Struthio camelus: one gene and its partners. The protein of the gene in region 4 purifies or fractionates together with the protein of the main gene of each other region. This does not show direct contact. Links are inferred from orthologs where the notes say so. Each region holds a gene or a part of one and is shown on either strand. Other genes may lie near its edges. The genes, in order: ANAPC13, ANAPC1, ANAPC15 and ANAPC4.

The links.
Region 1: the proteins of ANAPC4 (region 4) and ANAPC13 purify together in Homo sapiens (affinity purification with mass spectrometry; 9 studies listed by BioGRID and IntAct, counting the BioPlex papers as one, with this or other methods). This does not show direct contact. The link is inferred for Struthio camelus from reciprocal best matches to the Homo sapiens genes ANAPC4 and ANAPC13.
Region 2: the proteins of ANAPC4 (region 4) and ANAPC1 purify together in Homo sapiens (co-purification; 13 studies listed by BioGRID and IntAct, with this or other methods). This does not show direct contact. The link is inferred for Struthio camelus from reciprocal best matches to the Homo sapiens genes ANAPC4 and ANAPC1.
Region 3: the proteins of ANAPC4 (region 4) and ANAPC15 purify together in Homo sapiens (affinity purification with mass spectrometry; 10 studies listed by BioGRID and IntAct, with this or other methods). This does not show direct contact. The link is inferred for Struthio camelus from reciprocal best matches to the Homo sapiens genes ANAPC4 and ANAPC15.

The regions. Positions count from the first base shown.
Region 1 is NC_090950.1:5,129,448-5,136,415, forward strand, and holds the start of ANAPC13 (anaphase-promoting complex subunit 13), read left to right. Parts: upstream 1-3,968; 5' UTR 3,969-4,043; intron 4,044-4,354; 5' UTR 4,355-4,544; intron 4,545-4,741; exon of another isoform or gene 4,742-4,864; 5' UTR 4,865-4,866; coding exon 4,867-4,965; intron 4,966-6,968. Other genes in the region: CEP63 (centrosomal protein of 63 kDa), read right to left, coding at 1,604-1,647. UniProt on the Homo sapiens protein: Component of the anaphase promoting complex/cyclosome (APC/C), a cell cycle-regulated E3 ubiquitin ligase that controls progression through mitosis and the G1 phase of the cell cycle.
Region 2 is NC_090944.1:139,057,274-139,065,264, reverse strand, and holds the start of ANAPC1 (anaphase-promoting complex subunit 1), read left to right. Parts: upstream 1-4,981; 5' UTR 4,982-5,469; intron 5,470-5,568; 5' UTR 5,569-5,592; coding exon 5,593-5,805; intron 5,806-7,175; coding exon 7,176-7,337; intron 7,338-7,520; coding exon 7,521-7,572; intron 7,573-7,744; coding exon 7,745-7,854; intron 7,855-7,991. UniProt on the Homo sapiens protein: Component of the anaphase promoting complex/cyclosome (APC/C), a cell cycle-regulated E3 ubiquitin ligase that controls progression through mitosis and the G1 phase of the cell cycle.
Region 3 is NC_090942.1:224,054,773-224,062,306, forward strand, and holds the start of ANAPC15 (anaphase-promoting complex subunit 15), read left to right. Parts: upstream 1-4,520; 5' UTR 4,521-4,594; coding exon 4,595-4,714; intron 4,715-7,534. Other genes in the region: folate receptor gamma-like, read right to left, coding at 1,643-1,831, 1,920-2,117. UniProt on the Homo sapiens protein: Component of the anaphase promoting complex/cyclosome (APC/C), a cell cycle-regulated E3 ubiquitin ligase that controls progression through mitosis and the G1 phase of the cell cycle.
Region 4 is NC_090945.1:67,043,236-67,050,777, reverse strand, and holds the start of ANAPC4 (anaphase-promoting complex subunit 4), read left to right. Parts: upstream 1-4,542; 5' UTR 4,543-4,639; coding exon 4,640-4,747; intron 4,748-5,393; coding exon 5,394-5,499; exon of another isoform or gene 5,500-5,518; intron 5,519-6,629; coding exon 6,630-6,762; intron 6,763-7,542. Other genes in the region: rRNA N6-adenosine-methyltransferase ZCCHC4, read left to right, coding at 292-413, 1,091-1,166, 1,710-1,761, 2,179-2,323, 3,614-3,749. UniProt on the Homo sapiens protein: Component of the anaphase promoting complex/cyclosome (APC/C), a cell cycle-regulated E3 ubiquitin ligase that controls progression through mitosis and the G1 phase of the cell cycle.

The DNA of each region.
Region 1 (6,968 bases), on a different chromosome or scaffold from region 4:
GGACCAACTGTGCATATGCAGTACTTTGCACTCTAAGCAAATCAGCTTGGGAAGAAATTCATACAATTTTTAAGTATTCATCTAATTCTCTAATGCAATACCTCACAAGTGGCACGTTCATATCACTGAGCAGAGACCTAACTTTGGCAACGACCAGTGAGGAATACTTTATAAATCCTAGCCAAAACAAGTAAGCTACACACTTTAAGCACAGGGATTTTTTTCCTTTTAACCATAGACACATAACAAGCACCTACAAATACTTATCCCTTTGCCTTGGTGCTATGCATTATCTAAGCAAAAGGGAACAGGTTTAATCCATGTTTTCTATTCTTCGCAATTGCTCTCGAGGCAGAGACATTTTATACCAAGTTTCAGTCACCAGAGAAATCTTACAGCCAAGCTATCAGCTCCTGAAAATAGAAGTTTATCACAAATGCAAACAAACCCCTAAGTAGAGGGGGTTGGATGACAACATGATAATGAAGAATAAAACACTTGCAATCCTTTGGGGACAGCATGCTCCCTAGTGACTGCAGAATTTCTAATTTGGTGCAGTAATTATTGGAGCCAATTCAGCAAACTCCTCTAAAACTTCACAGGCTGCTAAGCCAGGGACAACATTCAGGCCTGCAAGATACAGCCCGAGAAGGCAGTGAACCCTATGATGATCTTTACCCCTTTAATTTGCCTGTCAAACGGAAAGCACTCAGAAGAAATGGAAATCAATAGGTTAACGGATCTAAATTTCTCTGTTCCCCCAGAGCATATGCACACTTCACAACTTGACAGTTGTTTTAACAGGGAAAGAAGTAGTTCTTAAAGGAGCCCAAATCATTTCAATTTGAAGTTCACCCTGTCCTGCAAGTTAACAAAAAATTAGCAGCTATTATGCAGAGCAAGAACATTTCCTTCTCAGCAACTGCTAATATAAAGCTCAGTCTAAGCTTGATTTCTGCAACCAGTTATTTGTAGAACAAATATATGGTATCAGTAAACTTGGGTCAAACTCTCAAAGACAACTATGAAAACAGCATCAGTAACTTTTGCTTCACGCTTGTTTAACAAATAAAATGATGCCCCCCCCCACCCCCATTACTGGCACTACAGTCTCTCTGGGATCCAGATACTTTCACCCAAGACAGAGCATAAAGGATTCTTCAGAGATGAACGGTGCTCTGCAGCGCCAGCACGCTCAAGAAACAATCAAACGTTTCCAATAAAAACAGGTAGCAAAGGCAGGTCTCATTAACCTAATAGGGCTCTTAAAAAGATATTTATTCACTTTTAATTACTACCGCTCCTGGTGCTAGATGGTAAGAAGGGTTTTAAAAACAAAAGGAGGTAAAGTTTTTAGGGAAGATGAAACACAGAAATAGTAACAAGACCACGATATCAGAGAGCAGTGATTACTGGGAAGCCAGCTCACCAAGTGACTTTGCTTGTTTTGGTTGAAGGCCACTGTGCACAGCAGGCACAAGGAGACACAGAGCAAAGACCTTATTTGAAAAATGGAAGATTTGCCTGACTGGTAAGACAGCATTTGGTTCTAAATAAAAGGGGAGTTAGTCTGACAGACGGGTGTATTCTGTTGCATACATACCTTCCCTGCCCATGTCTTTGCATTCCTTCCAGCAAAGCCTCCATCACCAAATCCTGGCGGCGTTAGCAGCTAGGAAAGTAAACAAAAACAGAGGTCACCGGAGGCTATATATCAGCAAGTCTACTTCTCCAGCCAACTGCAGAGCATGCAGCAGAAGTCCACAGAAAAGAAATTTAAAGATTACATAATAAGCAGCTGGTGCACAATTACAGGTGAGGAGAACAGTGGTCACCTTCGTGAATTTATAAGCCAGATATCTGCCAAACAAAGGAAAACAGATTTTTCTACAAAAACCAAACACACACACAAGCATTCAGCTCCATGAATTTAGGGTGATACAGCAGTATTCTCTAATGAACAGAACAACTCAAACAGCCGTAGTGGCTGGCTCAATACACAGGAACTGGCAGATCTCCCGTCTTTTGGGTATACTGAACTGCAGAGGAAGAGCCACACTCGGGAACTTGCAGATGGACCAGGCCCAAGAGGCATCTCTGACAGGGGTATTTGTTGCTTGAGAGAAAAACCCAAGCACCTTGTAAGCAAGCAGTGGTGAGGAAAAACAAAAAAATCTATCCATAAATTAGGTCTCGCTTAAACAGAAGACAAAGCTCATTACTGCTTTCAGGACACATTGCTACTTAGTATGGTCAAGAGGACTTTTCCTTCAATATAGCGCTGGTTTTTTAAAAATTCCTCTGGTGCCTTAAGCTACGAAAATAAGTTGCATGGGTTTACAGTAGCAGTGCACGACCGTTAAGTCATGAACACATGTATGTGTGCACAGATAGAAGTTCCACACACTTGTAAAGCAAGAAAGGTTTACCTTAATAGCAAAAAAAAGGAGAGTAAAAACTGAAAGTTACACTGGAACCAGAGCCACAAAGCTGACATTTTATTTCAGTAGGTTGTCCACGAAACAGCGTCCCTTCTGGTTAACTCACAAAAAAATACACTTCACTTTGCTATTTGGAGGTGTTCATACAATCTTCTGTTACCAAAGCATCCATCCACTCTCCCAAGTATTTAGAGAGGGATCTTCACAACATGATTCCTTAAAAATAATTATGGCATTATTATGCAGTCAACAGGAGGGGCACAGCGGGTCACACAAAGTGAGATTTTCAGAAAGGCGCAGACTTGGCTTTGGTCTCTTTTTAACTTAAGTGAGAGCTTCCATCCTGCTCCTAGCACGTTTTAAAAGCCCATCCAGAAATCAAAGCCTGCCCTTGGAGTTCAGGTACGTTTTCTACCACACTTATTCAGAAAATAAACATTTCCTGGAGCCAAAAAAAAAAAAAAAAAACCAACCCTGACCCTACACTGATACAGCGTTTTGTCTCTCTTCAGTTCTGTCCACGCGTGACAGAATTAAGCCAGGACGCGGAGCCTCTCGGTTGTGTTGCTGACGACAGAGCTGCTGCTGAGAGCCGAGGAGCCGTTCCAGGTGGCCACAGCGGACCATAACCAGCAGCAGCTCTTCTGTTTTATGCCAATCACACCCACACAGAATTGGTTTCCAAGGGGTAGCGGGGAGATTTCTTCCGTCCACTGCGGAGAACTTCTAAAATTCAAAAAGGAGACGTGGAGAACGAGCCAGGCCCTTTATCAGCCGCTCGCCTCATGAGAGCCTGGACTAAGCTCACCGCTACAAGGCTTCAGTGCCCTGAGAAGCCAGGCAGCACCGGCTCCTGCTTGCGGCGGGCTCTAAGAACGGCAGCCCGGGCCGCAGCCGGCGGCGCCTCCCGGGTGAGCAGCCTCAGGACGGCGCCCCTCCGCTCAACGGGTGCAGGGCACGGGCCACTCACGGGACGCACCCGCGTACACCCTGCGCTTAACCTCTAACTCCAGCCCAAGCAACCGGCCCTGACCTGTCACTCTTGAGATTTAAGGAGGAGCAAGTACTTGCGACAAAGAGAAGAAAAAGAAGACTTAATAAAACTTCTTTTGCATCCCACCTTAAGAAAGAAGCACAGCAACGGAAGAGAGGCAAGGGGGAGAAAACTGACGATACACGGAAGGCCCCGAAAATACAGCTTGCGAGAGAAGAACAGGATTGTTTAGCATTAAATATATATATATACACGGGGGGGGGTGCAGTTTTGAAGGGTTTAAAAGGCTGCTGGGCGTGGGTTAGCAGGCCCTACGCCGCAGCAAGAGGGATGAGACGTTAAGGAAAGCCTCCTAACCGTGCCGCATCAGCTCGCCCCGGGCCGCAAGCGCCGTCCGCGGCTGTCCTAAAGGCGAGAGCAAGGGCGGCCGTTAGCGGCCGTTGGCGCCGCGCGCCGGCCGAGTCCTCCCCCCTCCCCGCCCCTCGGCGCGCCCGCAATGACGTGACGCCGCTCGGGGGCGGAGCGCGAGCCCTGCGCGTGCGCCCGGGGGGGGGGGGGCCGCGCCTGCGCACTGGCTGGGCGGAGGCCGGCTGCCCGGCATGGGCGCGGTAGGGCGCGCGGCGCCGGGGAAGGGAGGGGGGCGGCGGCGGCGCGCGGCGCGGCCCTGCCCTGCCCGGCGGCTCCGGCCCTCTCCGGACACGTTCTGCCGTGAAACCAGCGCCGGCAGCCGGGGGCGGCCGCCGGCCCGCGGGAGCCGCGCAGGGACGAGCTGCCGCGATGACGTTTCCCGGGGAGGGGGAGGGGGCGCGGGCAGAGCCCTAATAAACCATCACCCGCGGCCCCGGCAGCAGCTGAGGGTGGAGGACGGTTCTTGTGTTTGTCGTGTGTTACTAATCCCCCGGATCTGGGTTTTTGGCAGCATTTCGTGCGGCGTTAAACGCTTGGTTCTGGCTCCTTCGCAGGCGCGGCAAAGGCCCGCGGCTGAGTTATGGCAGCAGAGCTGGCGCCGCAAGGCAACCGGCAGCCAGCGAGAAGCAATGCTTTCGTGCTGAGTTAGAGGGCCCTGGGGAACCGCAGCTCTCAAGGCCACCCACCAGCTACTTCTAAAGGTTAGTAACTAGGCGCTCCCCCTGAAAGCCGCTATAATTCATCATTATAGGCTACTTTTACAGATTTCTTCACCTCTGATGCTTATCAACCTGCACTTCAATTTGACGCCGTTATTTGCAGACGAAGTAGTTGCGCTGCGGTTATAACCCCTTTTTGAGTGCTTTAGGAAAACCAAGCTTCCCCATATGATTTGAAGCTTGATAATAACTGGATCACAGCTGGAGCAGCCGTGCGGTCTAAACGTGAGCCGCTTGGGAGCGTGGATGCTAGAACAGCATCTGCTTCGTGTCACAGATTCAGCTGTACTTGCCTACCACAGAGATGGACAGCGAAGTGCAAAGGGACGGCAGAATCTTGGATTTGATTGACGATGCATGGAGGGAAGATAAATTGCCGTATGAGGACGTGGCCATCCCATTGGTAGGTGAATCGCTGCTTATCAATCTGAGTTAAGATTGGCGTGTTTCTCACAACCCCTGCCAAGACACGGCAGATAGTATTGCTTGCGGTGCCGCTAAGTATCCTCTGCGGTGCCAGAGGTTCCCAGGATGGATATGACTTAACTCTGTTCTCTCCCATATGCTCGTCATTCCTGTGTGCAGACAAGGGCATGGATGTTTCTCTCCCTCTACCCCTGGGCAGTTGCCCTATCTCTTTGGAACTGGACTGCCCTTCCCATCGCACAGTTCTGGGTTAGACACCAGGGTCTACCTGTTTTCAAAGTTGTTGCCCAGCCACTTTGCGGAACAGAGAGGATCAGTCTTATGCTGACAGCTGAATAGTCCTGATTACAGTTTATTTCCACCTTCTGAAATTCCATTAGAAGAAGCTGAAAAATTATCAAATGTCTTCCTAATTGGACTTCTCCAAATACATTGTTGCTGTTGCTAGTTCCAGGATAGTAGTGAACACACCAGCATCTGCAGTAAGATTCCTGCTGGTAGTGCTTCATCCGGTATATGGCAGCTAGCCCTCCTTCCAGTAAACAGGTCATTGTACAGCTACTAAGCCAGAGAGGTGCAGCTGGGGAAAAGCTGCCTCTGATCCCAAAAATATCCAAGTTAGAGCCTCAGATCTCCCTCGCTGACCCTCTTCCTTAGCCATTTGGGGACTACCAGTGAATTGAGAGGCATTTGAGGATCTTCCCTCTCCTTGTTCACTCTGGTACGTAAGCTTTACCCTGGCTAGCACTGACACAGCAGGCACACTAAAATCACAGGGATTTCACATGATCCTGAATTAACACATGAAAGTGCTTCCTGCGCTGCTTTGGCTAGTTTTGGCTACTAGTTTCTTTTAGCAAAGAGACACTTGCAGACTAGCAGTAACTTCAGCTCAGCAAGCGAATATTGTTCAAGTGTCAGCCTTTAAATCACGATATGCCAACATTCCTGGAGAAGATGCAGCTCAGGTTTTGCCAAGTCCCTTCTCAGAGCAGTGATGAGACCACACAGGAGTTGGTTTCTCACCATGTCCTTTTCTCCTTCTGGTCTTGTAGACACAAGCTGCATGCTTCAGTCTGCACAGTTGTGTGAGAAGGTTACTAGGGAGATGAATCCCTCTGACCATCCATTGCCCTCCCTGGTTTGTCAGCTGCTCAGACCGCAGGTAGAAATGCAGCTGGGGCACCTGCTCGATGTAGCTGTCTGGCTACGTTGCATCCATCGCTGTGGACCCCTGGGCCCCTGCTGCGATCTAGTCAGAGTGAGGTGCACAGCACTGTCTCTGATTTCAGAGAGGGCAAGGAGTAGCCGCGCACCTTCACGCTCCGCATATAAAGCACACAAGTTTTCCTGCCCTGATTTGGCCTTGAGGAAATGATCTTGCAGAACTACGATTCTCAGACACAAGAACCTAGATTTCCTTGACTTGAAGGCACATATAGATGGAAGCTTCATCAATTAGCCTGGCTGTGGATATAAAGATTCCCAGGGATGGGATTGGCTCTGGTCACAAAGAGAAACCAGCACAAATTCACAAGAGAGTTACTCAGCGGAGTTGTGAAAAAGCCAAGAGAATGGTTGTAAAGTCATATTTGAGCTGTCCTGAGCATCTGATCCAGTGCTTGCTGGAGAGGGCTCCTGAACTCTAAAGGGCTTGAATCATATGCCATTTTCAAAATTGAAGTATTTTATTTAGCTCATGCTGGGATTTCGAGAAATCTAGAACTCAAAATTATTGCCCAAATGATATCTTGCAGAATAACACGCCCGCTGTGTGACTGCACCAGTACAGGCACACACAGAATAAATAACATAAAGAAGGAACGTTAAATCTCAGTGAAACCATACTTCCTCCTTACTGTCTCCTGAGCAGTTCTGTGTTGCATCTCGTAAGGGTTCCTGACTTCCCCTGTTGATACAGCACAGACATACCTGACTTCAGTGCACAGAGGAAGGATTTCTCACCTGCAATGGGACAAT
Region 2 (7,991 bases), on a different chromosome or scaffold from region 4:
TCAGGCCCTGGTGACAGAGATTGAATTTCCCCTTCACTGCCTCTTTCACTGCAGACCAGCCTCGAACATCTTGAAGTGATCAGCAGCTAAGAAAGGGCACGTGTCACTGGAGGCCCACATTAAAGGGGAGAAGAAAAATGTATTAGAGCTGCTGCAAGAAGACTAAACATCTTCCACGGTGCTGAAGAGCTAGTGCCTTCCTTGCAAGTTCAGCAGTGTCACCACGTCTCCAGATTTTGAGCGAATTCCCCATGCATTCAGTGTCATTCAAGAGTAAGGAGGAGACTGGGGAACATGAATTTGTCCCTCCATCTTTCCAGGCTGGCTCTTGGAAATCACAATATGAGCCTGTCATTTGTGGTTAACTCTGTATTTTGTGGGTGCTCTTTCATCCGGCTATGTTTCCCACTGCTGCTGGCTTTGTGTTATTTGAGAACAAAGCAGTGGATGGGCTTTTGTGTGCTATGGGGGGGGGGGGGGAAATCTCCTCACATAGGGACCACATCATGTAATTGACCCCACTAACATATATTTGAATTAGGGAGAAGAAGCAGGACCATTTTTATGAAAGAAAAGAGGAGGGAGAAAAAAAATAAACAAGGAAAACACAGGCACGTGTTTACGGGCACGTAAAGAGGATTTTAACAGCTCTTTAAAATCCTTTAATATGGGTCACTTATTTACAGAAGGTTAGTTTCTGTCAGTGCTGGTGTAAATTGGTGTCTGGAGCTGGTGTGTGCAGCTCAGTAGGGTTTGTTTCAGTTCGTTTGGGCACGGCTCGACATGAAAAAGATACTAGTGCGTGGAGGGGGAGGAGGAAACGGGGACCATAAGAAAAAGTCTCATGCCGAGATCACGATATGAAAGGTAAGGAACCAGCCAGCACGAGCTGCCCTGGGAGCGAGTCTGACCACTTTGCCTGCTTTTGGGGTTGGTGACACACAACCTCCATTTTCTCCCAGCATATTGCCAAAGGATGGCAATATTAGTCTTCCACCTCTACCACAGTGAACGTGGAAAGATCTCTCCTTCCAAAAGAACGCTTGGCTGTCAAATTCCTGACATTTCTGTCTAACTTCATGCATAGATAAATTCATGAATTTATTCATTTCCCACTGAGAGTTTCGTGCTGACAATAGTTTCATTTCCTTCCTTGTCATTTTAAGGGCATACAAAATATAGGCTCAGCATCAGTAACCCCGTCTGGGCTGCCTTGATACTTTCCATCACTTAAAGTCTTGCCAGATTCCAACAATTAGTGCTGAAACGTACCAGCACATGTACTTTATACGTTTCTTCAGAATGATTTTGGTTTTCTCAGGTTGTTTCCAAGCTCTGGACAATGAATTGTGTCAGACTTGGTGGCCTTTTCTCAGAGAAGATGAAGTATTTCCATGCTCTAGAGCCCAAACTCAACATTTGCCGGGAAGCTGCACTCAGATGAGGAGTGTTTTTGGTCCCAAAGCACCTGTGTGGCCAGACTCACAAGATCTTCCCGAATAGCATCTCCTGTTCCCACTGTCTCCAGTGGTCTTTCCTTTTAGGGCTGGGCATCAGCCAACATTTGGCCCTGAAGAATACTTCACAGTCCTTCCTGGGAAGTGGAAGAGGAAAAAAATCAACCGATGTCAAAGGAAAAGGACTGGAATAAAGGGAGAATCTTTACTCCTCAGAGAACAGACCTTAAGAGAGGAAAATAAAAGCTGACTGACTTGTCTGTTTGCCTGCCAGGATATGATCCTGAACCAGCTAAACTAGTTGTGCTTGCAGCTTTCCAGGTGATATATAGCACAAACCACACTGGTGAGTGAGGTCTCCAAAGAAGAAGGGGAGGGTGCCCATACCTTTGCACAGACATCAGCAGTCCCTGTTTGAGTCCCTGTTTCATCCGGTGGCTCTCCAGCACAAAGATTGTGGTATCTGCATGGCGTGTTCAAGACTTCCCGCTGAAAAGGGGCCAGTGTCCTTTGAGACCTAATTTGCTATTGCGTTTGTGTACATATGCACAGAAACAAACACACATACACGCAGACTCCTGTTTGTGGGTGCAAAGGTGCAGATCTTTATCATCATAGGCCTTCTGCTGCTTTACGAGAAGTTACAATCCCCATTTGGTAACATCAACAGTTCCACAGGTATTCTCAGCTTTCTCTTAAGCAGCATCTCAGTAAGCATTAGATGAGCTTTCACAGGTGCCTGGGAATGTAGCGGTGCCAGGATGTGATCCTTCAGGTTTTTTGCAATTTCATTTCACGGCATTGACAACATTTCTTCACAAGACCATTCAGAAACTTCGGGCTTAACGTAATGTGTACAAAATCAGATTGTTTAGCAGAAATGCAACCACTTGCTATTTCTGTATTTTCATTTTCCTTTTGTTAAATTTCTTCTTTCCCTTTTTCCTGCTTCCTCTTTGTATATATTTATATGTGTGTAAAAATAATATTTGCAGGGGCTCCTGTTCTTTTAAATAGCAAACTGTTTTAGTGATATGTTTTTAGTTCAAGGTCGATGTCTCATTTGAGTTAAATGTTATATCCTTCACAGGACACAGCTCTCCAACAATTTGCACAGAGAAAACTAAATGTTTTTGGCTGCTAGGAAAATACTCCCTTTTTTTTTTCTGCTTTCTTTGGGCACACTGTGCATGCTGCACCTCTTACTAGGCACATTCTGTCCCTTGTCTCAGTTGTTTCTTCCTAAGATAAATTCTCCTGGTCTGCAGATAGTTTTGCCAAAGCCATCTCCAAAGGCTGGACGCTGGCTAAAACGTTCTTAGTTTTCAGCCCTGTGTGTTCTTTCTTGCCCACAAAGTTGCTGTTTGCATTTCACAGTTCCACTGGTGCAAACACCTCCATCTGTCTATATGTGGAAATTTGGTCCTTTGCTCTGTAGATCCAGGCTACCATTTCTTTTGGCTGTCTTCCTACCAGAAGTTGTGATACGATTTGAAAGCGCTCTGCAGGTTGGTGAACTCTTACCACTTCTGCTCAATCTGGTTTTCCCCAGCAGGCTTCTTCTCGGTTCTGAGAAAATGATTATGATTATTGTCAGGCGTTGTTCTCAAAACCACTTGTTTGACCTGTGGTCTCAAATATGCTTTCAATGCCTCCTCAGCTTCTCCTGCTTTTGATTTCTCATGTGAAACTGATATCTTGAAAAAAATTGCGTGTGTCAGAATGCACAATCCCTCCAGTTCCTGTCAGGGTATTTCTTACACATTTTGTTCTTTCTCCTTTGATTATTGTCTGTTAAACAAATGCAACTCCTATGAGTCTATAATGGAAAAAGAAATAAGTGACTGTATCTCCCTCAGTCTTCCTTTCAGCTCCTTTTGCACTTCATACATGTGCTAAGAAAAAAAAAGCATTCTCTGCTATGCTACTTTGATATGAATGGGGAAAGTATACCCATGTATGAATGGGGAAAGATTGTATAAGAGCAATGTAGTCAGCAACACCCTCTTGTTTAGGTGTGCAATTATAAATGTGAGAGTTAAAGAAAGGAGCTCACATTACAATGTATAGATGATTGCAAATGCCACAGGCTAAGCTTGCTTACTGTGGACATGTCTGCATGGTCCAGATGGCTCTCTGTACATGTTACAGTGCCAACAAGATGGGCAGACTAACAGCATGGTGGTGACCTCATAGGTGTAACTTATTTTTAATGGAATACAAATAATCTGACTTTCCTGCTAGATTTGGCAGCTGAGTACATGCCAAATCCCAGAGAACTATTTCTGCGTGCTGTGCTGTGACACAGCAACCAAGGCAGAAGAGCAAGCAGGTTTTGGAAGCCCAAATGGCCTAATTCCACACAGGTGACATTTGGTTATATACAAATGCATGTCAACACACCCTTCCTTTGGAGCATGGGAAAATCTGGCTGTTCCCGTGTGAAAAGCCATGCTAACTGCCTGACACCTAGTGCTCTGTAGACAGAGATGCAGCTGAGAAGGTTTCAGCATCCTCAGCCTTAGCCTTTACAGAAGTCACAGGCTGTCTCTGCACTCGTTCAGGAACGCCTATGGATGATGCAACACCTTTTGCATTCAAGATGAGACTAGTCACCCCATATACTGACCACAGATGTGTAAGGGGGTGGATTTGTAGCTGGTGTGAGTCAGTGGAGCTCAGACTTCCGAGGAGTTATGCTAATCCATATCACATGAGCATCTAACATTTGTGAAGGGGATTGTACAACATGCCTGTTGATGACTGCAGGGTAGCAAGGGGCTGGGAGGCCCTGCCAGTCCTCTGTATATGTCTAAGGTACGTTGCATTTTCTTTTTTAAGTGCCATGCCTCCCATCTTTGGGAAGCAGCTGCCCTGTTTACAGGGTAGGGTTTACACGTACTCCTGGTATCCATCAGTAGAGCTGATCTTGACCCAACACAATGCCAACAGTTAATCGGTTCCTGTTCAGAGTCAGGAAACCTCTCCCCCCTGTGAAACACCCATTTGCGCCTATCCTTTGTTTCCTGTGCCACAGCCAATCACGTATCCATGAGATGACCTTCCCTTTCATGTCATGGCTGCTTAGTTTCTTCAAGAAAGCATGAAAAGTCATCTAGGGTCTCAGCCAACGTGAAGCAGTTTATCTATTCTTCAGGTGTTTTCTCTTCCCTGTTGCTGGGGGAAAGACTCTTGCGCCTGAGAGAAAAGCACCTTCGCCCACCCTGGGCCTCGCGCGTGCACAACACGGTCCCTGCCTCGGAGCCACAGAGCAATCTCTGGGGCCCGGCACTGACTAGCTAAGAGCTCGGCAGCGAGTCCCATCGGCGGCCTCATACGCCAAGGGACCTCAAACGCCAAGAGGAAACCCTCAAGAAACTTTAACAACAGGATCCAGTGCTCTCCGTTTAATCCACGATGAATTCATACGGCGGGATAAACAACGAGCGCGAAGAGCATCTAGAAAGAAGCAGGCTACTTCAGTGACAGCGCCCTTCCGAGCGCCAGCGCAGGCCTGCAACACCGCAGCCAAAGGCGGCTGCGACCCTGAGCAGCCTCAGGCAGCCAAAGGCGCCGCGCCGAGAAGGAGCCCTGCTCGCCCCCGGAGAGGGGAAGGCAGAGAGAGCTGACCGGACAGCCACAGACCGCCAGGGCTTCCCCTCCCCGGGCTACTCGTCAGCTACCGTTTAACCGCTCAGCCCTACACTGCCCGCTGCCCTGCGCGGCGGCTGCGCCTGAGGCTCTGAGGCCGGTTTTCACTCAGGTTTTTAACAGACGCAGCGGCCTGCGGCCCTAGGGCATCGGCACGGTCTCCCCCGCCCGCCATTTCCCTCCCGGCCCCCTCGGCGTTGTCATGGCGCCGCGCCCCGCCGAGGGGGGTTGTGGGAGCGCTAAGATGGCCGCGCCCGTGTGAGGAGGAGGAGGAGGAGGAGGAGAAGAAGCAGCCGCCACCGCGGGAAAGAGCTGCCGGCGCTTGGCCTCGCCCCTGCCGCGCGTTTCCTGTGTCACGCAGGTCCGTGCGCCCCCGGGAGGGGAAGGGAGAGGGGGCGAGACGCGGGGTGGGAGGAAGAAGGGCGAGCCTTAACGCGGCGCCTGGTGTCTCCGTTCGCAGAAATAATGTTGATATCGGGCCCCCATGTCGGACAAGTGTGACGAGAGGGCGACGATGATTGCGGCGGGCGATTTGCAGGAGTTCGCCCCTTCGGGCCGCCAGCACTGCCAGCGCCACCCCAGCGCCCTGAGCCTGCAGCTGCGGCGCCTGCAGCCGGCCTCGGAGCTCTGGGCCTCGGACGGCGCCGCCGGCCTGGTGGGCTCCCTGCGAGAGGTCTCCATCCACGAGAGGCGCAGGGTAGCGTGGGCTGCGCGCCGGGCGGGCGGGTGGGCGCCCTGTCGGGGCAGAAGCGCAACCCGGAGAAGGAAGGAAGGGGGGTGGTCGTGGTGGTGGGGGGCTTCGGGGCGAAGCGGGCTGCATAACGTCCCTCTGCTTCCCGCAGCCTCGGCGGCGGGCTTCTCCTCCATGCGCGAGCGGAGGGGGCCTTGAGCCGCCGTTGAGGGCTCTTCAAAGCAGCACCGGCTCTTAAAAAGAAACCCACCACCGCCAACAATAAAAAAACGAGTGAAGCGTTGGGTGTCATCCACAGCGAGAGCGTACAGCCTCCACGCAGCCCGTCCCGCGCGGGCTCGGCGTGCCCGTGCCCCTCTCGGGAGCGCGGAGTTGCTGGGAGAGGGTCCCAAGAGGAGAGGCGAGAAAGACCGTGACGCCTCGTAGCGGGGGGGGGAACAGGGAGGAGGGATTCGGGTGAAGGCTTACAGAAGGACGGAGGTGATGGCGGAGGTGAAGGTAGAGCCGCCGCTCCCTGAACTGCGCGACAGAACTGATGGTGACAGAACTGGCTGAAATTAGTGAGAAATCGGTTTAAAACACATAATAGAAACTACTTCTTTACGCAAAAAAAGAAAAAAAAAAGAGAGGGCTTGCGGAACTAGCCGCCATGGAGATTTGTGGTGGCGGACAGTGCCGTCCAGCTCAGGAGTGGATTAGACAGCAGGCCCGTAAACAGACATTGAAGAGACCAAGCAGAGGGTGAGCCCGCTAATCCGGTGGTTACGGAGAGTGTTGGAATAGAGCGCAGGAAGGGGCCAGGCTCAGGCGCTTTCCCTAAGCACCGTTTCCTGTTGATGCTGTTGGAGATGATGGGTAGATGGACCATCGGCCTGACCCCATCGGGTGATGCTTGCAGTTGGTCCTGTTCTATTCAGAAACAACAGGCTGCTAGCTGGTGCGCTGAATCCATTGTATGTGCCGACAACAGCGAAGCAGGATGTTCCTGAAGGGTGTTCCCTGGATTCAGTGCTGGAGGCAGAGTGCGAGCAGCAGGCACAGCGCTTGCTGATAAAGACTTCTTTTTATTCTTCATCTGTCCCACTACATCAGATTACTTCCTTCTGGTTTTAACTGGGACCCTTTTTTTTTTTTTTTATTCAAAAAATAAGGGAGGAGGCAGGGGAAAACATCAGAAGTGCAAACCAATGCTTATTCTGCTTTTCATTAGCTTCCAAAAGTCTTTACTTTTTAAATAAGTTGAGCAAATCAAGTTGAACGATTACTTAAAAATGGTCATTGAGAAATTATCACCAGCTACAATCGCACTGCTTATTAAGTTATCTTCCTGTTACAGGAAAAGTTGCAAGATTCAATCAATAACTCTTGGTTTTCAGGAAAGTTGGCAGTTGAGAAAAGGTGTCAGCGCTGTTGGGGAAGAAGTGGACTATGATGAAGAGCTGTACGTGGCCAGCAATATGGTCATCTGGAGCAAAGGAAGTAAAAACCAAGCATCTACTGTTTATAAGGCTTTCACTGTTGACAGCCCTGTTCTACAGGTAGGAAAATGTGGAAAGGTAGCAATTGATTGAATGCATGTTAGCTAAAGGATACCTGCTGACTGTTTTCAAAAGGTGCTTCAGGGTTCTAAGGTGGGTTTGTTTTATGAAATATAGAAAGATTGAATTCAGTGGTAACATCAGGTTGTTCTTCAGAAATAATTGTATTGTATTTGGCTTTAGGCCTTATGGTGTGACTTCACTATACCCCAGGAAAAATCTGAAAAACCTGAAGGTAAGTTTTATCTTTATTTTAATGCCAAGCAGAGTTTAGTTTGTTTGGCATGTGAAGTTTAGCCATCAAGAACTACTATGTTAAGAACTCCTTGTCCTCTCCAGAAAAGCTTTATATTTTATGCATAGAAATCTAAGGAAATAGAAAAACTTCACTCTGTGTTTTCTCCCAGTTTCAGGTAGCGATGAAATAGTAGAGAAATGTATCTGCATATTGCAGAACTCGTGTATAAATGTGCATAGCATAGAGGGAAAGGATTACATTGCTGCTTTACCTTTTCAGGTATGTGCTTTATCTTTTTTTTGGTCCCAAACAAAGTCCGTTTATCTGGTTGTTCAGGGTGTTGGGGTGGGGAGGCGTACATGAAGCACTGCTGTCGGTGACTGCATGAATTCTTCATTCCAGTGGGTGAATGTGAC
Region 3 (7,534 bases), on a different chromosome or scaffold from region 4:
CCCCCCCTGCACTCTTGCAACATGTCACCCCTGCGCAGTGCACGGCCCCGTGCCAGGTCCCATGGGCCACCCGTGCCGGGGGGTGTGGGGTGGGTGCTGCGGTGGCTCCCGGTGCACCCTGCCACCCCGGGGTGCCCACTGCCACCCCCCCCTGCACCCTTGCAACGTGCCACCCCTGCGCCGTGCACGGCCCCGTGCCAGGTCCCGTGGGCCACCCGGGCTGGGGGGTTGTGGGGTGGGTGCTGCGGTGGCTCCCAGCATGTTGTGCCCACAGGAGCCACCCCTGGGTGCTCAGTGCCACCCCCCCCGCACCCTTGCAACGTGCCACCCCTGCACCGTGCACAGCCCCGTGCCAGGTCCCGTGGGCCACCCGGGCTGGGGGGTGTGGGGTGGGTGCTGCGGTGGCTCCCGGTGCACCCTGCCACCCCGGGGTGCCCAGCGCCACCTCCACCCCCTGCACTCTTGCAACATGTCACCCCTGCGCAGTGCACGGCCCCGTGCCAGGTCCCGTGGGCCACCCGTGCCGGGGGGGTGTGGGGTGGGTGCTGCGGTGGCTCCCGGTGCACCCTGCCACCCCGGGGTGCCCACTGCCACCCCCCCCGCACCCTTGCAATGTGCCACCCCTGCGCCGTGCATGGCCCCATGCCAGGTCCCATGGGCCACCCATGCCGGGGGGGTGTGGGGTGGGTGCTGCGGTGGCTCCCGGTGCACCCTGCCACCCCGGGGTGCCCAGCGCCACCTCCACCCCCTGCACTCTTGCAACATGTCACCCCTGCGTCGTGCACGGCCCCGTGCCAGGTCCCGTGGGCCACCCGGGCTGGGGGGTGTGGGGTGGGTGCTGCGGTGGCACCCGGTGCACCCTGCCACCCCGGGGTGCCCACTGCCACCCCCCCCTGCACCCTTGCAACGTGCCACCCCTGCGCCGTGCACGGCCCCGTGCCAGGTCCCGTGGGCCACCCGGGCTGGGGGGTGTGGGGTGGGTGCTGCGGTGGCTCCCGGTGCACCCTGCCACCCCGGGGTGCCCACTGCCACCCCCCCCGCACCCTTGCAACGTGCCACCCCTGCGCCGTGCACGGCCCCGTGCCAGGTCCCGTGGGCCACCCGGGCTGGGGGGTGTGGGGTGGGTGCTGCGGTGGCTCCCGGTGCACCCTGCCACCCCGGGGTGCCCACTGCCACCCCCCCCTGCACCCTTGCAACGTGCCACCCCTGCACCGTGCATGGCCCCGTGCCAGGTCCCGTGGGCCACCCATGCCGGGGGGGTGTGGGGTGGGTGCTGCGGTGGCACCCGGTGCACCCTGCCACCCCGGGGTGCCCAGCGCCACCTCCACCCCCTGCACTCTTGCAACATGTCACCCCTGCGCAGTGCACGGCCCCGTGCCAGGTCCCGTGGGCCACCCGCGCCGGGGGGGTGTGGGGTGGGTGCTGCGGTGGCTCCCAGCATGCTGTGCCCACAGGAGCCACCCCGGGGCGCCCAGGGCCACCTCCCCCCACCCCCCTGCCCCCTCGCCGCGCTGCAGCGCCGGGCGCGTCAGCCCCGCACCACGTGGGCACCTCACCCCCGTGCCAGGCGCCGCGGGCCACCGGTGCCAGCAGCGGCACCGTGCCCACCGGCGGGGGGCGGGGGGGGGGGCGCCCACCCTACCTGGTCGATCCAGGGCCCCAGGTTGGGCGAACACTCGTAGAGACAGGCGTCCTGCACGAAGTGGCGCTTGCAGCGGGCCGGCATGGCGCCGCAGTGGTCCCAGTTGAAGTTGTAGAGGGGCGAGCGGTCCTGGTGGGCGGCCGCGCTGGTGTTGGCCGTGCAGCAGGCGTTGTCCCGCCAGGGCGCGCACTGCCGGAGCGGGGTGGGGGGGGACAGGCGGTGGGTGCGGGGGTCTCACCACCGCGGCGGTGACCCCCGGGCGCCCCTCGCCCCCCACCTGCCCGTAGAGCTGCCCCTCGGGGCCGGGCTCCGTCTTGTGGTGCTTGGCGTCCATGCACACGTTGAGCGGCAGCGCGCGGCCGGCCGCCGGCACCGCCACCGCCGCCACCACCGGCACCGGCAGCAGCAGCAGCAGCAGCAGCGGCAGCAGCGGCAGCAGCAGCAGCAGCAGCAGCAGGTCCCGCGCAGCAGCCATCTCCCTGCGCAGCAGCGCCGGCCCCCGCTGCCCACAACAGCCGGAGGGAGCGCGCACAGCCGGACGGGGCCGAGGCGCGCACAGCCGGCCCGTGGACCGGTGCCCGGGGTGGCGGCGGTGGTGCGCGCACAACCGCCCCGGCTCGACTCAAAGGTCAGCGGGCGCCCAGGGCTCAGCGCACCCCCCCCCCGCCCCGTCCCGTCCCACGGGATATCCCCCGTGGGTCACCCACACGCACACCCACACACCCATGGGGGAACAATCCCCCGTGGGGCACCCAGCCAGGCACCCACCCACCCCGTGGGTCACCGACAGCCACAAGCACACCTGGGGGGAACGATCCCCCGTGGGGCACCCACACCCACCCGTGGCAAGGCACCCCGTGGGTCACTGACACACACCCACACACACATGGGGGAGCGATCCCCCCTGGGGCACCCACACCCACCCGTGGCAAGGCACCCCGTGGGTCACTGACACACACCCACACACACATGGGGGAGCGATCCCCCCCGGGGCACCCACACCCACCCGCGGCCAGGTCCCCCGTGGGTCACCCAGCCAGGCACCCACCCACACCCGGGGCCAGGTCCCCCGTGGGTCACCAACACCCACCCCCAGGGTTCAGATCCTCGTGGGTCACCCACCTGCACACCCACGCGCACACACAGACACACACATGGGGGGACAGATACCCTGTGGATCACCCACGCACCCACCCCCCCCCCACACACGGGGGAGGTCCCCCGTGGGGCACCCATACCCACACAGACACACACACACCCAGGGTTCAGTTCCTCCATGGGGCTCCCACACCCACCCAGAGGCAGATCCCCCGTGGGTCACCCACCCAGGCACCCATCCACACCCAGGGTTCAGATCCCCCGTGAGTCACCCACCCCATCTGCAGACACACACCCGGGGTAGATCCCTCCTGGGTCACCACAGCCACACCCCCCACAGGACTGTGGAGCAGATCTCCCGTGGGTCATCCACAGCCACACCCACACGGTGGGAGCTTCTCCATGGGCCATGCAGCCATCCGTACCCACACCCACCCAAACCCAGGGGCAGATCCCTGGTGGGTCACCCACACCCATGCCCAAACACACACCTAGGGGCATGTCTCCCGTGGGTCACCCACCCCCACACCTGCACATACCCGGGGCAGATCGTCCGTGGGTCACACCCACCCACCCCCACACCTGAGGGGCTGCTCCCCCGTGGGTTACCCACACCCATACATCCACCCACAACCATCCGGGGGCAGGTCCCTTGTGGGTCACCCATCCACACCCACACCCACCCACACCCAAATCCACAAACACCCGTGGAGCTGGTTCCCAGTGGGTCACCCAGAGCCACACATCCCCCACACTCATACGTGGGCAGATCCTCGTGGGTCACCAACTCCCACCCAGGGGCAGATACAACGTGGGTCACCCACCCACCTACAACACCCCACACCTGTGGGGCTGTGGGTCACCCACCCATACACCCACAAACACCTCCCCACGTGCACACCCGTGGGCCAGATCCTCCATGGGTCACCCACCCACAAACACTTCCCCTACACCCACAAACACTTCCCCTACACACCCGTGGGGTTGATCCCCATGGGTCACCCACCCACCCACATAACCCCACAGAAACCCACTCCCACTCAGGTGCAGATCCCCAATAGGCCACCCACGCACAAGCACACACCCACGCACAAAAACAAACCCACAAGAGATAGATCCCCTTGGGTCACACACCCACCCACAAACCCCCACAGACACCTGCCCTACCCAGGGACAGATCCCCAGTGGGTCATCCAGCCACCCACAAACACCCACTCCCACCCCAGCGCACATCCCCGTGGGGCCACACACCCACACCCACCAAACCCCACGCCCACCCACACCCACCCGGGGGCAGATCTCCAGTGGGTCACACTCCAACCCACCCACAAGCCCCCACAGACACCCATTCCCACCCGGGGGCAGATCCGCAATGCATCACACACCCACCCACGCACACACACGAACACCCGAGGGGCAGATCCCCAGTGGGTCACACACGCACCCACCACCCCCCACAGACACCCACTCCCCCTCGGGGCAGATCACTCGTGGGTCACACACCCACCCACCCACAAACCCCCACAGACGCCCACTCCCACCCGGGGCCGACCCCCGTGGGTCACGCACCCACCCAGCCCCCCCGGGTGGCAAAACCACCATCAGTCGGTGACGCGCTGGCCCCGCCCCTCGCCCCTCAGGCCCCGCCCCTCGCTCACCCCCCCCCTCCCCGCGGGCGTGACGTCGCCGGCGTTCCGTCCGTGGGCGCGGGCCCGCGGGCTCCTCCGCGCATGCGCCGTGCGCGCGCGCCCGCCGCAGCGCCGCCCCGCCCCTTCCGGCGCGTCGGGCTCCGGCTCCGGGTCGGCGCCGCTCCCCGCCGCGCGGGGGTTCCGCCGCCGCCGCCGCTGCCGCAGCATGTCCACGCTGTTCCCGTCGCTGCTGCCGCGCGTCACCGAGGCGCTGTGGTTCAACCTGGACCGGCCCTGCGTGGACGAGACCGAGCTGCAGCAGCAGGAGCAGCAGCACCAGGCCTGGGTGCGCCGCGCCGCGCCGCGCCTCCGCCCCGCACGGCGGGGTGCCGGGGCCTGGTCCGCGGGGGACCGGCGGCGGGGGGGGTCTGGGGACAGGGGTGGCGGGGGGGTCCTGGGGACGGGGGTGGCGGGGGGTGGGGGGTCGTGGGGACGGGGGTCGAGGGGACAGGGGTGGCGGGGGGTGGGGGGTCCTGGGGACGGGGGTCCTGGGGACAGGGGTCGTGGGGACAGGGGTCGTGGGGAGAGGGGTGGCGGGGGGTGGGGGGTCGTGGGGACGGGGGTCGTGGGGACAGGGGTGGCAGGGGGTCGTGGGCACAGGGGTGGCAGGGGGACGGGGGGTCCTGGGAATGGGGGTCGTGGGGACAGGGGTTGTGGGGACAGGGGTGGCGGGGGGTGGAGGGTCCTGGGGATGGGGGTCGTGGGCACAGGGGTGGCAGGGGGACGGGGGGTCCTGGGAATGGGGGTCGTGGGGATGGGGGTCGTGGGGACAGGGGTGATGGGGGTCGTGGGGATGGGGGTCGTGGGGACAGGGGTGCCGGGGGTCGTGGAGATGGGGGTCGTGGGGATGGGGGTCGTGGGGACAGGGGTGATGGGGGTCGTGGGGATGGGGGTCGTGGGGACAGGGGTGCCGGGGGTCGTGGAGATGGGGGTCGTGGGGATGGGGGTCGTGGGGACAGGGGTGATGGGGTCCTGGGGATGGGAGTCGTGGGGACAGGGGTGGCGGGGGGTCATGGGGACAAGGGTCATGGGGACAGGGGGGACAGGGGGATGGGGGTGGCTGGGGGCCGTGGGGACAGGAGTGACGGGGGTCCTGGGGATGGGGGTCGTGGGGACAGGGGTGGCAGGTGGTCGTGGACACAGGGGTCATGGGGACAGGGGGGTCAGGGGGATGGGGGTGGCTGGGGGCCATGGGGACAGGGGTGAGAGGGGTCGTGGGGACAGGGGTGGCAGGGGGTGGTGGGCACAGGGGTGGCGGGGTCGTGGGCACAGGGGTCATGGGGACAGGGGTGACAGAGGGATGGGGGTGGCTGGGGGCCGTGGGGACAGGAGTGACGGGGGTCCTGGGGATGGGGGTCGCGGGGACAGGGGTGGCAGGTGGTCGTGGACACAGGGGTCAGGGGGACAGGGAGGTCAGGGGGATGGGGGTGGCTGGGGGCCATGGGGACAGGGGTGAGGGGGGTGGTGGGCACAGGGGTGGCGGGGTCATGGGCACAGGGGTCATGGGGACAGGGGTGACAGAGGGATGGGGGTGGCAGGGAGCGGTGGGGACGAGGGTCATGGGGACAGGGCTGACGGGGGGGTCATGAGAACAGGAGTGGCAGGGGGTGGTGGGGACGGGAGTCGTGGGGACGGGGCAGACAGGAGGGTCATGGGGACGGGGGTGGCAGGGAGTGATGGGGATGAGGGTCGTGGGGACAGGGCTGACGGGGGTTGTGGGACCGAGGGTTGTGGGGATGGGGCTGGCAGGGCGTTGTGGGGATGGGAGTTGTGGGGACAGCATTGGCAGGGGGTCGTGGGGACGGGGCTGGTGGGGGTCGGGGGTAACACGGGGTCGTGGGGGCGGGAGTGGTAGGAGGTCTTGGGGACAGGGGTTGTGGGGGTGGGACTGACAGGGTTCCTGGGGATGGGGGTCATGGGCATGGCGGTCGTGGGGATGGGGCTGACAGGGGGGTTGTGGGAACGGGGGTCGTGGGGTTGGGGGTCACGGTGACAGGGCTGACAGTGGGGCTTGTGGGGACGGGGGTCATGGGGACCGGGTCGGCAGGGAGTTGTGGGGATGGGAGTTGTGGGGATGGCAGTCGTGGGGAGAGCGCTGATGGGGTCAGAGGGACGGCGGTGGTAGGAGGTCGTGGGGACGGGGGTCATGGGGATGGAGCTGATAGTTGGGTTGTGGGGACGGGGCTGACAGGGTGCTGGGGACAGGGGTCATGGGGACGGGGCTGATGGGGCGTCATGGGAACGAGGGTTGTGGAGACGGGCCTGGCAGGGGGTCGTGGGGACGGGGGTCGTGGGGACCAGGGTGGCAGGGGATTGTGGAAATGAGAGTTGTGGGGACGGGGCTGGCAGGGGGTCATGGAGACGGGGGTGATAGTTGGGTTGTGGGGATGGGGCTGACAGGGGGTCCTGGGGATGGGGCCGGTGGGGGATCCCTGAGGACAAAGTGACTCTGGGTGTGGGGGTCCTGGGGACAGGGCCAACAGGGGCTTCCCGGGATGGGGTCCCTGGGGATGGGGGTCCTGTGGACGGGGCTGGCGGGGGCTCCTGGGGATGGGGGTCCCGTGGACAGGGGTCCCAAGGATGGGGGCGACAGGAGGTCCCCGTGGACGGGGCTGCTGGGGCTGGGTGAGCAGAGCGCAGGGCAGAGACCTGCGGCGCGGGGCTGGCTGATGGGGGCGCAGGGGTCCCACCGCGGGCCGGCGACGTGGCTCCGGGCCCGGCCCCCCCGGGGTCTCCCGCGGTTGGGGCCCTGCCCCGCTGCGGGCTCTCACCAACGCCCCGGTCGCTGCCTCTGTCCCAGGACCGCGCTGGGGTCCCGGGCGCCCGGCGGGATCCCCAGCCCTGCAGCGCCGGGGCAGGATCGGGTCCGCGGTCGGCTCCTCCGAGCGCTTTCCACGTGCTTCTGCCCTGGCGCCGCGGCTGCGCCGCCGGCCCCCCCTCGCCCCGGCGCCCGGGCAGGGCCCAGCGAGCCGCTCGTCCCGTGGCCCAGCCCTCTGGGCGCAATTACGCCGCTGCCCTTCGTGGTTCGCAGCTCTCCCGTTACGTGTGTCGGCAGCTCAAAAAGGTGTTGCTGAAGCACGGGGCCCCCTCCCCGCCCCGACAGCCG
Region 4 (7,542 bases):
TAGTGCAAAAGAGTAAAAAGGGAAAAGTAAAATATGGTAACTGTAGTGTTGCGAGCTTGATTTCTGGAGTCTAGCCTGCTATTATGATTGCACAAATTTAAAAATACATCGGACTGAACCCTTGCTTTAAAATTTGTACTCTAAGAGTTAGTCTTTTATATAAAAAAAAATGAGAATTTCATAAAACATCTATAAAGAGAGTAAATATGAAAAAGTTGTGTCCATGCTTAGCATTGAATTTAAGACTCAAGGTTGCTTTCTAGGTAGAAATTTTGTTTTCTTATTTTCTAGGTAGATTATGATAATCATGCACTTTATAAACATGGCAAGACAGGTCGTAGACAGTCCCCTGTTCGTATCTTCACCAACATCAGCCCAAGTACGATTGTACTTCCTGTCGAAGAGGGTTATAGGTAAGATGTCTTTACACTCAAGTGAATGTGCGAGTGTGTTTTTAATTGGGGCATAAAGGCTCAACATGATTTTGGGATGGTGACGTTCAGTATTGAGATTGCCTAACTTTTCAATGCTAGGCTCAATAGCAATTTCTGCTGTCTCAGGCTAAGCTCCTGTATTTTATAAACAAGGTATAGGAGAGTTGGACACCTGAAAAAAGGGTTTTACATTAATTAGTGTGGAATGAAGAGATTCCTCAGCTAGCCCATAGGAAATGTGCGTGCCTGTGGGAGACAGAGATTTACTGCTATCCCTGATAATCAGCTTGGTTGAGACAGTAGTTCAGAACATAAAGACTAAAAGAAGTTTTGGGGCAGGGGAATTTTACTGATGGAACTCAAATAGCTCTTTTTTTTTTTTTCTTTTTTTTTCCTGTTTGATTTGCTGCTGATAACGTATATTGCTAATTTGAATTTGAGCACCTGAATTTTACTGTTTTGTACTTAAGGTGTTTAAATGATTATGAGGCTCTGGTTGTATGAAGTGGTTGTTGTATGACTCAAAAAAAGTATCTTAAACTTAGCAAAGTGATTTTTGCGATCCTTACTTCTACTGTGGAGCTTATATAAAACTCATTCGTGTAGTTTCTTGAGCAAATCCTGGACCAATATGTTTGTAACTTCATTTTTTCCAGGTTATGTGCTATCTGTCAGCGATATGTTAGCTCTGGTAACCAGCACTGTGAGATATGCAATTCATGTACATCAAAAGTAAGTACTTTGACTTCTTTCTGGATGGCAATTTTAGCAGTAGTCGTATAACTTCTGTAATTTTTGCCCTGGTAAAAAGCTATTCTGGTATTGATTTCACTGGAAAACCCTAAGCAGTTCCATTCAGGCATCTTTTTATTAACTTCATAGGACATCGTTCACAACTCCCTGGGAATTAATTCCTGTTTCCTGACACCTCTGGGTTAGGAGGAGGACTGTAAAAGTTTGTTACTTGCCCCTTGTGATATACCTTATTCATTGTGTGTGGATTTTTTTTTTTTTTTTACTTTATTTTAACATATACCTTTCTTCTTATGTTTGGGAAGTTGAAGAACTTGCTAACTTCAAAATGTAGCCGTTCTGCTGTGGTTGTCACAGATTCTCAGGATTTTTGTTTTCGCGCTGCCCACAATGTATATGCTGTTTCTGAAAATAAATGGGAACATATGTCATGAGCTCAGTTTTAAGACACAATCAATGTTTTTATTTGTTTGGATTTTTTTTAAGAAAAAACAATGCATTTATTCATTCTCTTATTTATAGGATGGTAGACGATGGAAGCATTGTGCTCTTTGCAACAAATGTGTCAAACCGTGTAAGTGCAGAAAAATACTCTTCTAAGGAAAAGTATGCTTACTGTTTAAGCTCTCATCCAAAGAAACTGAGATGACAAATCAGAAAATATGCTATAGAAGAAATAAAGCTTAATCATTCAAAAGACAGAGAATAAAGGGAAAAAAATCTCAGTTTTATATGAATTGCCAGCAAATAACTTGATTGGGTAGGTTTCCGCTATGTGGAAATGTGATAAACTCCTGTTAAGTCACGGCCACCTAAATTCAAGGCCAGTAGTAAATTCCACGTATATTTCTTACGGAACAGCTTGCTTATTTTGATTTGTGGTGTTTAATGGGAATTTTATAAACACATAGGTAAGTGTTAAAAGTTATTTAAAGCTTGGTTTCAAAATGATCATTTTTCAAGTTCATAAATCCTGTTACGTATTTTACAGCTTGGTTTCACTGTAGTAATTGCAATTGCTGTGCTCTTCAAGACCATGCTTGTGAGAGGACTGAAGCTGGTTGTTTCGTTTGCGGCAAAGCAGGTCACAAGCGCAATTCCTGTCCCAGGCTCTCCCTCACTAAAACAGCTTGCCAGTAAGTTTGATATTGCATTAATAATTATATTAATGAAGCCATTATAAAGATGGCTTTCAGAGATGGGAGGTAATTCTTACTTCATGAAAATGGTTATAGGAAGAGAGAATTTTAGGCTTTGTATGCTGATACCAGCTTTCACTGTTATCTGTTTGCTGTATTGTTGCAGAGGCTCTGTGTGAAATATGTCAACTGGAGGAGCATACGATAAAAAGCAGCATGATTTAGGCAGGTCACTTACTATGTGTCCTAATTCCTTAACTGTAAGGGTTTGTCTAGATTCAACACTTGGTGAATGGTGCATAGGAGATACCTCTGTCAAGAAGATTCAAAATTAATCTGAAGTAATGAAACTTTTTTAGCTCCTTCAAATTCCTCACCAAAGGGCAGAGACTGCAGTCACTACTTTGTTTTTTCTTGATTCCTGTTTTGCTTATTTTAGTGTCTTTTACTGTTCCGTCTGGTACCTCAGGTGCTCTCTGTGGTAGGGTCTAAATCTCCAACCTGTAAGAGCTTATTAATGAAGGACATGTTAAGTATTTGTATTAGTACTTTTCTAACTTCCTCTCCAGAGCGTATTGGTTTGTTTGTAATTCTTAACTTGAATGGATGGAGCAGTAGAAGTAAGTTTTGACTCCCAAAAGACGTATCTCTATTGCATAGTGAGGGATTCAGAACTATTGGATCAGCTTCAGGAGGTTCACTGGGTACTTGCTAGGTGGTACTGGTCTACAGGTGCATTGCTTCATGTCCTGCTATGACATTACTCTGAGTTCTGGTTATAGAGTAGTAGAGCTAAAATGTAATGAGATAGATGAATAGATAAGATATTTACAACTCTCCTTTTGAAAAATCCTTCCCTTAACAGTTCTTTATTTAAAAAAAGTAAAAAGGACGTTATAAGAAAATAGTGAAACCTTATCTGTTTCTTCAGTTAGGCATATTTTGTGTTGTGATGGTTTAGTCCTTTCAGGCCATCGGTTAGTTCCTTTGCTAATTTATTCTTATTCCAGAAAATTACTTAGATTTCTTTTTCTAGGTAAAACATCTGTAAATGTTTTATTTATATTTAAAATTATACAGTGTTTTGTGTCATGAAATACGTCCTTTGTCAGAGACCAAAACCAATCCACTTGCGTCATAAATTTACTGTAAAATGGAATGTCCCTTGTACTTTTTGTGACAGTACTTCTCAGTCCATATGCTTATATGGACAGCTTATTTATATCACGAGCAAATGCAGGTGTATGTTGTCTGCTTTAATCTGCGCATTTCTTTCTTGCTTTACAGAACTGACAAAAAGAAAAGGCAGAAGACTCCAAAGAAGGTAAAGATGGGGATCTGTAAAAGATCAGCTGTGAAACATGCAATATTCGCCAGGAAAAGAATAAAGAAGAAGAAGAAGAGGCCCAGCCTTCCTTGTTGATACAAAGTGACCCAAAATTTTTTTTATAGCCTGCTTTGATTCCATATTCTGACCGTGTTAATATTAATATTCAAAATAAAACCTGATTGAACTCAAAGCGACAGTCCTTTTATGTTATACATCATTACTGACAAAAATGCAATATAAACCACTCTCTTACTATGTATTTGCTTAGTGTGACAATGTCGTGTGGCAAGGATTAGCTATTGCCTGATTTAGCTGGAATCTGAAGTCAAAAGGGGAGCAGCGGGGAGAGGTCAGGAAGGCTAAACTGGCTACTAGGTAGTGAGTGAATGCTGTGGCTTTGTGGGAGGTACGGGGGAATTTGGGGCAAGGGGGTAAGCGAGGATGGGTGATGGAAAGGCACAAATTCTTAAGGCTCCTTCTCGCACTTCGTTCCCCTCTGCTCAGAGTACCGTGCTGGTTTCCAGTTCTTCTCTCCAGATGCTTGCAGGGGGAGAAGCCTGAGGAAGGACGCTGAAAGTACTTCAGGCGCAGGTCTTTTTGTTCTGCTTACTAAGCAAGTATGCTTCGTGGTATTTTTAAAGTAGTTTAACGATTTGGATTTAAAAAATCATGAGTTTTAATATTTTTGAGATCGGCGCTGCTGCAGTAGCGACGGGAGCTATGCTAAAAACGAACCCCCATCGTCAGATTGCGGCGGATACGCGGGCACTAGCGGAAGACGAGACAGGAAGGGCCGGCCTTGCCGCGGCCGGCGGGGGCAGAGCAGGAAGCGCCGAGGCGGCCCGCGCTGCCCGCCCGCCGGCCGCCGGGCAAGCGCCGCCTCCGGAAGGCGGCAGCGGAGGGCGGCAGGCGGGCGGCCGGCGGGCGGCGGGGCCGGGGCGCTCGGAGAGGAGAGGGGAAGGGGCCGGCAGCGCCCCGCCGCCATGCCGGCCTTCCGGCAGGTCGGGGAGAAGCAGCTGCCGCAGGAGGTCGTCTTCATGGCCTGGTCTCCCAAGCGGGACCTCATCGCCCTGGCCAACAGGGCGGGGGAGGTGAGCGGCGGCGGCCGGGGCCGGGGCCGGGGCCGGGGCCGGGGCCGGGGCGGCCGCCTGGGGCCTGCGCGGCGGCAGGCGGGAGGGCCTGAGCAGCGAGGGGAAGCGCTGCCGCCTTTGCGTGGTCGTGTGCAGGCGCTGCTTCCCTTACCCGTGACATAAGCGTTTGGCCAAGCTTGCAAGAATTACCAATAACAAAAAATGTTCGTCGAGCTGCTTATTGCTTGTTATTCGTTGCCTTGTTCAAATTGCCAGGCGCGTTCAGCAGTGAGACTCTCAGTGCCTGCATCTGTGCAGTTTTAAAGGGCCCCTTTTTCAGTTACATCAGTTTTGCAGTGTTTTTTTTCCTGGAAGTGGTGGTTGTGTTCAGGGGTGGAGACGTGGTGTTGGAGAAGGAGAGAGAACCTGTGTTGGCTGCAGGCTTCTAGGTCTGTAGAGGGCACAGTTTGTCTCTCTGTTGCTGCCTTGCGAGCAGCGTCCTGTAAAATGACCTAGGAGTGACTCCTCTGCTAGAGAAGACGACACCACTTGAGATGTAGGACTTATTAAAGAAAAGTAAAAATTTTCATCTTGATTTGATTTACAAGCTACAATTAACGGGGGAATAATTTTTTTTTTTTTAATCCTTCATGTGTTTGCTTTTCAGGTTTTACTTCATCGGCTTGCAAACTTCCAACGAGTTTGGAGTTTGCCTCCAAATGAAAATACAGGAAAAGAAGTGACTGCACTTGCTTGGAGACCGGATGGCAAAAGTAATGTGAAGTATATGAGGTGACATGTTGCAATAAAAATCCTGTTGGAAATCAGTGCAAGTTGTGGTGATGATACCTCTTGTCTCTGAAGGAAATTTTCAAGTAAACTGTATTTGAAGAAAAGGGTAGCTTAATTTTATGTAGGTTTATTCAAAGCTATAAGGAAGGATACACTGCTGAAGGCAATTGCAAGAAAGATTGGCAAAGTGAATTTATGTCCAATAATATTACTTCCCAAGGTATATCAAAGCTTCCAGTTCATAACTAAGCAGAATATTTTCACGTGTACTACAAAATTCATTGGGAGAATAGAGACAAATCAGGACAGACTGAAGAGCCTGGCTTCTTTAGTCAAAGGCTAAATTTTAGAGGTGAAAATTGCTCTCTAATATTATGCCAGAGAAGGTAAAAAAACCTCTTTCCTTGGTAGAATAAGGTCTGTCAAGACAGTAATGTCTTACAGATGGAGATAACATTGAAATTAGTAGCTTAATAAGTATATGTTGGAAAGTAGTTTGATTTTTTTTTGGACCCATTGGAAGAGTGAGAATGGGAACAATATTCTGATAAGACATGAGCAAGTACTACCTGTTTAGTTTTACGTTGGAATTTAAGAAACTTTTTTTTAAGCTAGTTGCCTGTGATTACAAGGAAGTGGATGCAGTAACGTATGCCTGCCGTATGTTTTTATAGATAAATAGAGGTAAAAAAGGTAGCGATGCAAATGTTGTTCAGCAAGTCTACAATTTTACTTTGTTATAATAAAACCAAAACTGCTGTTGAATGGTCTTTAAATGTATTTCAGCCTTAAATTTGCAAAAACTGAGGCCCTGTAGTTAGAAGTGTGTACTTCAGTTCAGCATGCAGATAAATAATTGTAGGATCAGACTTTTGACCTAAATATGTTACTTAAAAATATGCTAGGAGTTCAAACCTAGGAGTGCTAGTATGCTAGAAGTGCCAGTGAGTAGGTTTCAAGTTAGAGTTTGGAAGCACAGTAGATAAAAGACAAGGAGACAACTAGATGTCCAGTAGTAGGCTTTGAAGGAACACTGTTTTCTAGTCCCGCATAAAGAAAATACAAAGTTTTGCATGTTGGTTATTTATATATTTTACGTTTTCTTCTCTAGTTTTGGCTTTTGGCCTAACTGATACCAAGCGGATTATTCTGTGTGATGTAGAAAAACCTGAAAGCTTACACTCCTTTGCAGTGGACTCTTCTATTACTTACATGCATTGGATGGAAGTAACCGAAGAAAGCAGGTAGGTCTGAAAAACTCTGCACATAAACATAGGCTGTGCAGTACTATCTTACTAATAATTTACAGTTAGTGTGTTACAAGTGGCTAAATAAAAGAATGCTGTCTTTTTCCTCACCACTTTGTTAAAATTTTCCCTTTTTATTAGAATATACTTCTTAATGTGCTTATTTGTAGTGCTGAAGTCTTAGTCTTGTGGTTCTTTTAGTTTATGCCAGAAATATTTCAGTAAGACGTTGAGCATCCACCTGTTAAGAGCTTGCTTAATCCAGTGGTAACTTGATGTATTGTTGTACAGCCTGCCTCCTGATCCAGTTTACTTTGATACCCACTAATGTGTTAATTTATTAAACTAATTGTAATAATGTTGTTATATTCATCTGCTTTGTTAATCGGGGAGAGCATTATATTTAAATCTTCATTAGTGTTTTCGGTGCTTTGGTAGGGTGCTTGCTCCTTTCACGTTTTGCCTTTGTTCTTACATCCTAATCCATTGGCGGTTCTATGATGGGTACAGTTGCTTCAGGATGTCACAGCGCTCCTAGTGACTGTGAGCGTGTGTCATTACGCAGTTCTCAGTAGCACTTGTGAGCTCGCGGGCACTGTGGTCCCTGTTTCTGTGATCTCACAAAACCATCTGATATGTACCTCGTTGCAGTGCAAGACCATAATTAAAAATTTATTAGAAAAAGGGAGGGGGCCTCACTTGGGAATTCTCTCCTCCTTAAAGTACAAATCTAAACGTGGTAAGAAAATAAATGCATCTTAAATCAGTCTAGCATTT